Linked DNA regions of Xenopus tropicalis. The protein of the gene in region 1 interacts with the protein of each later gene in a pairwise test. Links are inferred from orthologs where the notes say so. Each region holds a gene or a part of one and is shown in the gene's direction. Other genes may lie near its edges. The genes, in order: c11orf49 and rab29.

The links.
Region 2: the proteins of c11orf49 (region 1) and rab29 interact in a two-hybrid assay, tested with the Homo sapiens proteins (2 studies listed by BioGRID and IntAct). The two-hybrid records come from large-scale screens. The link is inferred for Xenopus tropicalis from reciprocal best matches to the Homo sapiens genes CSTPP1 and RAB29.

What each region holds. Positions count from the first base shown.
Region 1 is NC_030680.2:11,489,489-11,493,319, forward strand, and holds part of c11orf49 (UPF0705 protein C11orf49 homolog), read left to right. Parts: intron 1-1,053; coding exon 1,054-1,159; intron 1,160-3,831. UniProt on the Homo sapiens protein: Regulator of the tubulin polyglutamylase complex (TPGC) that controls cytoskeletal organization, nuclear shape, and cilium disassembly by balancing microtubule and actin assembly.
Region 2 is NC_030678.2:73,482,752-73,486,582, reverse strand, and holds part of rab29 (ras-related protein Rab-7L1), read left to right. Parts: intron 1-1,938; coding exon 1,939-2,120; intron 2,121-3,831. UniProt on the Homo sapiens protein: The small GTPases Rab are key regulators in vesicle trafficking. Essential for maintaining the integrity of the endosome-trans-Golgi network structure.

The sequences.
Region 1 (3,831 bases):
GGGAAGGCCATCTCCCATACACTCCATTTTAATCCAATAATGTCAACAATGATTTCCTTTTTCTTCTGTAATAATAAACCACTGCCTTGTACTTGATCCCAACTAAGATATAATTACCCCTTATTGGGGCAGAACAGCCCTATTGGGTTTATTTAATGGTTAAATGATTCCCTTTTCTCTGTAATAATAAAACAGTACCTGTACTTGATCCCAACTAAGATATAATTACCCCTTATTGGGGGCAGAACAGCCCTATTGGGTTTATTTAATGGTTAAATGATTCCCTTTTCTCTGTAATAATAAAACAGTACCTGTACTTGATCCCAACTAAGATATAATTACCCCTTATTGGGGCAGAACAGCCCTATTGGGTTTATTTAATGGTTAAATGATTCCCTTTTCTCTGTAATAATAAAACAGTACCTGTACTTGATCCCAATTAAGTGACAATTAATCCATATTGCTGGCAAAACAATCCCATTGGGTTTATTCAATGTTAAAATCATTTTTAGTAGACTCCCAAGGTATAACGATCCAAATTACAGAAAGATCCCTTATCCAGAAAACCCCGGGGCCCGGGCGTTCTGGATAACAGGTCCATAAATATATATAATGTATTGAGGAAGGGACAGAGAGGCACTGCTTTGAATACAAAAAAATTTGAAATTTATATAGGGAATTTCCCTTTTCCATTAGACACATAGAAAGTTCTAATAGAAGGAACCTTTCCGTATGGAATGACAGTCTGGGATAAGAAACACAGAGCGCACTGAGAGAACACAGAACCAGATAGAAACCATATTTGGCCACCATGCGTTTTTCATCAGATTTCTGGCCGCCGGCCAAAGCCCCCGTGTATAGGGAACCCAAGGAGCAGGTGTATGTTTGTAGTCACGCGGCCCCCGACTGATTGGGAATGGCATCTTTCCCTATTCATATGGAACTGGGGCCAGAACAAGAAACCTTATCCTCTCCCTGAGATGCTGCACTCCCATAGGGAGAATCACAGGGGATTTCCGTGCATCGGATAATGATTTCCCCTCTTTCCCACAGCACAGAGGCACGTCCAGGTGTACCTAGAGGATGCACTCGCTCAGCTGCTGGAGAACAAGGACGAGGTCGAGCCCCAGGGCAGCACCGCCAAGTTCTTTGCCCAATAGTGAGTATTTACTTGGTTTAGTCATGGGAGAACTGCCCCTTTAGCCTAAAGGCACTATATGGGATTCAGTAGTAAGGAGAGATAGATAGATAGATAGATAGATAGATAGATAGATAGATAGATAGATATAGATAAATATACAGATAGATATAGATAGATATACAGATACAGATAGATAGATATAGATAGATAGATAGATAGATAGATAGATAGATAGATACAGATAAATAGATAGATACAGATAAATAGATATAGATAGATATACAGATAGATAGATATAATAGACAGAGTGCCGCACACATAGGGACTTGATACAAAAGAAAAAGTGGTTTTATTGAAAAAATTCCAACGTTTCGAGCACAATCTGTGCTCTTCCTCGGGGACAAAACCCACAACACAAAAATAGATAGATATAGATAGATATACAGATAGATAGATATATTAGATAGCGAGATAGACAGAATAAATAGATAGATAGATAGATAGATAGATCAGTAGATAGATTGGCAGATACATAGATAGATAGATGATAGATAGATAGATTGATTGATAGATAATATAGAGAGAGAGATGATAGATATAGATATACAGGTATAGGACCCATTATCCAGAATGCTCGGGACCAAGGGTATTCCGGATAAGGGGTTTTTCCGTAATTTGGATCTCAGTACCTTAAGTCTACTAACAAATCAATAAAACATTAATTAAACCCAATAGGATTGTTTTGCATCCAATAAGGATTAATTATATCTTAGTTGGATTCAATTACAAGGTTCTGTTTTATTTCTACATAGAAAAAGGAAATCAGTTTTAAAATTCTGAATTATTTGATTAAAATGGAGTCTATGGGAGACGGGCATTCCGTAATTCGGAGCTTTCTGGATAACGGGTTTCCGGATAAGGGGTCCGATACCTGTATTAGATAGAGAGATAGACTAGATAGATAGATAGATATATTAGATAGAAATATTAGATAGAGAGATAGACGGAATAGATAGAGAGAGAGATGATAGATAGATAGATAGATAGATAGATAGATAGATAGATAGATAGATAGATAGATGATAGAGAGAGAGATATAGATAGGAAGGATAGATAGATAGATAGATAGGCAAAGATTAAAAAGAAAGGGGTGGCGAAAAATGCTCAACTTCAGTGTTTATGTGACAAAAAGTCACATGTTTAAGGATTCCGATTGGATCTGGCCAGAGCCATGGATACAGGCGAATCCTGCAGAAAAAAAGCCGAATCTGGGTTAAATCTCCAACCAAATCCTGGATTCAGCGCATCCCTATAGATTGGATTAACCTGTTGAGTTGCATCTGGGACAGACCCCCTGTGGTGCCAAGAATTGTATTATTCCAAAGGAAATAAAAATCTGTCTTACTTTTTAATACTATAACCTTTACCTTTACTGTGGTGCAGGGGGATTAGTAGCTGCTACCTGGAGCTGACAATGATTGGTTTGAATTGCATAACTAGGGGTGCATACACAGTGACTGCATTTGTTCCTGTAAGCATAGGAAGCCAATAAGAACTCAGGACCCATCCAGGCCTAAGGTCCTGTGATCCCTGTTCCTACACCCCCAAACACCCCCATCTAACAGTGGTGTCAGGGAAGTGATTGGTGGAGGGGGAAATGCTGTTCCAGCGTTACTGCACTAATTGGCTTTACTATTTTGTATTCAATGTGCTTATTATCTCATTGGAAACTTCCGAAAGGGCTAGTTCACCTTTATATTAACATTTAGTATGCTATAGACAATTTGCAACTAGTCTTCATTTTTTATTTCTCATGTTTTTTTTTAGTTATTCAGCATTTGGTTCAGCAACTTTCCAGTATGGTATTTCAGCAGCTATCTGGTTGCTATGGTCTTATTTACCTTAGCAACCAGGCAGTGGTTTGAACAAGAGACAGAAAAATCAATAGGGGAGAGGGGCTGCCTAGAAAGATAAGTATAAATAACAGTACAATTGTAGCCTCACAGACCTATAGTTTTTGGCTGTCGGGGTCAGTGACCCCCATCTGAAAGCTAGAAAATATCTGAAGAGGAAAGCAAATAATTTTAAAATAAAAAACAAATAAATAATGAAGACCAATTGCAAAGTTGCTAGGGATAGGGCATTCTATAGAATACTAAAAGTTAACGTAAAGGTAAACCACCCCCTTTAGAGTTTCTAATTGTTCCATGATAGACTCTTACTATTTTCTATGTTCCCCCCCTTCCCCTGTCTTTCCCTGCCAGGCTTCTGCCCCATCCTACTAGTTTTCCCCTCCTGATACCCCACGGCCGCTAGTTAATTAGCCTTTCCGATGATATTTATTTCCTGATTTCTATGCCCCAAATCCTTACTAAGCTTCTGTACCCCCCTAAGGGCCTGAACCCCCCTTTCCCCAGCGCACGTCTCTCCGTGACGGCAGGATTCCAGGTCACTTGTTTGATGTTGGCGCTTACGTGAATTCACCTTGAGGGCACTGGAAACATTTAAGGATCTGTAGTTTACACGTTACGCCAAGGGGAAGAAAAAGCCTCTTTGTTCTGCTCTGCTCCTGAACCTGGGAAGCAATTGAATTCTCAGCGCCTTTCAGAATTTTGGGCAGGTCCAAGGCATTGATGCTGCGTAGGGTTTGCCAGAGAGTTGCATTCAGAGCCAGAATCCCTTTCTCTTTA
Region 2 (3,831 bases), on another chromosome or scaffold:
TTTATTTTTATGTCATTTATTATTTTGAAGCTTGAATATCAAAGTGATTTAAAGATTTTATAGCAATACCATATTGACTGATTTGGAAACCTTGTTAAAAAATCCTACACTTCCATTCCTTTGATGCCTGTACACAGTCCAGTAGGATATAGGGTATATGCAGTACAGTAACTCTGTGCTAGGAGCAACTGAAATGAGTCAGTCGATTTTTCTACTAAATCAGCGGGCGCAGGCCAGCCCTGTCCTTGCCATCCACCATAGGGCAAACACACAAGAACTGCACCCACACAAGAGCCATAGCATAGGGGGTTATGTAATAAAAGACACTAAGTTCGCCCAAGAGTAGTAACCAATAGCAACCAATCAGCAGGAAGCATTTACTGATAACCTGTTTAAAAGCAATTGTCTGCTTCTGGGCAAACTGCTCCTTGAAAACTTAGTGCCTTTTATTACATTTGGGGGATAGACTTGTCATTTTCTGATATCCTTCCAGTGGTTGTCTACTCAAAAGGTCTGGCACACTGGAGTTTTTAGGCAGCTTTACAGAGCCAACAGTCTCCACAATGGTGTTGCTCACTACATATTTCAGCTTGGCAGTTAAAGCTTCTTCCATACCTCATGGCTAAGCTCAGCAATGGCACCACCCTCCCTGCTCTCCTGGACAATCTTTTTCCCCAATAGGGCAGCATTTCTATATAGGCACCCAAGGGCTCATGCTTAGGGGGCACCTTAGGTGGGTGGCCATCAGGTGCCTATTTAGAAAAAAAATTGTTTTTGAAAATAAAATCCTCCCCCAGCTGGCTAAATTTTGGTGGCTAGCATTTCAGCCTGTGCAAAAACAACACACTGACTATGTTTAATTAAACATAAAAGTCAATTGTATCTTTTTAGAAAACTTTCAGAAAGTTTAAAATTTAAATTAACAGCATTTTTTCGTCACTAGCTCTTGAGTGCCAAGACAGAATGTTCTAACAATCGATATCTGACATCCTTCAAATAAAATGATTATTGATTAGGTACAAAAATATGTGGCATCTGGAGACCCCAGAATATAAAAGTGGATTATAGTTTTCCATTTAAAAACAGACTAAGGGGCATATTTATTAACATTGGAGACAAACATCACCTGCGATGTTAATAAATACGCCCCTGAATGTGTTTCTTTTAAGCTCTTTGAACAGTAAGTTAACCCATAAACAATATCGCTTTGAAAATGACACTTTCTGATTATATGGATAAATGTTAGTTAGTGATTTTTAAAAATGTATAAAATTGACTCAAAATGTTTTGCTTTGGAGCAGCTTATCACCTACCTGTTCTTGGGTACAAAGGTAGTTCACATCACTTTAGCCCCTGAAAACACAATGCACTTGGGCTTATTTATAAACATAAGGCAAATTTGCACTTGGGCAGTAGCCCCTAGCAATCAATCAGTGATTGGCTTTTTACAACCAGCTGTAGGTTGAACTGTGAAAGCAAACATTTGATTGGTTGCCATGGGTTACTGCCCAGTTGCAGATTTGCCCAGTGTTTATAAATGAACAGGGTCAGATTTAGATCTGGGGTGCCCCTAGGTCATTTGTTAAATAACAAATATGCATATGACTACCTAAACTACGTGGCATGTAAAGACCCCAAAATATGAAATGCTTATTACAGTTTCATGTACCTTATTAACAAAAATACACTGAGCTTTTTTGATGCAACCCCTGAGAGACCCAGGGCAGTGAATGGGGGGAACAAGGTAGCATATATATGGGTTTCAACGCAACACACTGGTCTTGTAATTGCCATCTAAGAGGGATCTTTTGGAATTTTGACAGACGCTGCTTGATGTGGCTATTAAACCCCTTAGGACATTTCAAAGCTTTACAAATACGATTCGAGATGCTGGTATTTCAGTTTACATAAAGGCTTTTATTTCTTTGCAATTCACAGGACAGGAGAGATTTGCTTCAATGACCAGACTGTATTATAAGCAAGCATCTGCCTGTGTCATCATGTTTGATCTAACCAATTCAGAGTCCTTTAGAAACTGCCAAATGTGGAAAGATGACCTGGATAATAAAGTGATACTACCCAATGGTGACTTTGTGCCCTGTATATTGCTCGCCAACAAGGTGACTTTATTTTTAGTGTAATGCAAATGTAAAAAACAGACATATCCATATAATGCCCAAAATGGGCACAATAGACATGCTGAAGGAGACTGTAAAACTAATGCAGAAGTTTAACTTATAACTACTTGGGAATTACAGCTCTAAAATACAAAACAAACCCAACATAAATCTGAGGAAATATCCGTGTTGTGAAAATTCACACTAATGGCAGACTTCGCAATGCTTTTTCCAGAGTTAAAGACCGCGACACCCAGAGAACCTTCAAACAGAAAAGTCTGTTCTAGTCACAAAAAAGTTTTTCATAAAGAAAGTATTAATAGTATATAACATAAGTAACAGAAACTCACTGGTTTGTCTTATAAATCAGAATAGCCTGTTTCACTTGCAGTCTGCCTATAAAGGTTTTGCTCTTCTGAAAAGCTCCAGCCACTATTAGGGCAGATTTATTTTCTGCAAATATAGTTCTGTACTCTGGCTTCATTCTCATCTAGACTTGGCAAATTCCACTGCACCATGAGTACTCCATACTTTTCTACTTCCTGCTTACTGGGCAGAGAGCTCCCCTCCACATGAACTGCAATGGTTCATTCAGCCTGATTATACACAGCTTCCAGTGATGTAACTTGGTTGCTCCAGGCCCTTCTGCAGAAAAATCTTTTGTGAGGGATTGACTAGTCCCTCCTTGCGGCCTGACTGCGCCGCACCCTCTGACCGCACCGTTATATTTAAGGTAGGAGAGGAGCTCGGGAGGGGTGACTAAGGTACAGCAGATCACGCGGTCCGGGGCCCCTGTGACCCTGCTGTATATATAGATGACAGCAACTGACAGCTTCTTTTATTCTCCTAATTTGCTGTGTCTGAAGAGATTGTGACTATGATAGATGCCCATCAGTGCTTGATGCTGTGCAAGGGGGTAAGCTTGTGCTTTTGCTCAGTTGGGTTTACTTACAGGACATGGATTCTCGAACTTTGTTGAACTACGAGGCTCAGCATCCTTCCATTAACTGAAGTTTGTCAGAGGATGCAAGTCCTGGCAAGTCGCGTGGTGGCAAGTCGCGTGACGTTTCCTTCTGCAGGCAAAATGCTGCGACTTTGGAAAACCGAAGCAATGCATAGGCCTTTCCACCGGTGATTCCCTTTGTTGCCGGTGGAAAGGCATTTTGGAAAGATAAGTCCAAATGACCTTAGCAACCAGGGTGTGGTTTGAATGAAAGACTAATAAATTGTAGCTTCACAGAGCAATAGTTGTTGCTTCAGGGGTCAGTGACCCCCAGTTGAAAGCTGCAAAGAGTCAGAAGAAAAAGGCAAATAATTTAAAAACTTTGAAAAACAAATAATGAAGACAAATTAAAAAGTTGCTTAGAACTGGCAGTTCTTTAACATACTAAAATTTTACTTAAAGGTGAACCATCCCTTTAAATATAGTTACTGGCACCAGTCACTATATCAAAATCAACTGGCAGCAGTTGCTACGGTCTCTGTAGCAACTGCTATTGCAACTGCTGCCAAGGTACAGTTTAAATTACAATAACTACCATAATATCTCTCTTCATGATGATGGCCTCCATGCAAATGGCTGGCTTCCATGATAGCTGATACCACTGGTTTGGTTTTCACAACGACAATGTTGAATGTATACCATGGCAACTGTTGCTATCATTTCATGCTTATAATACTGCTACGCAGTCTACAAATACTCAGATATAGAGTA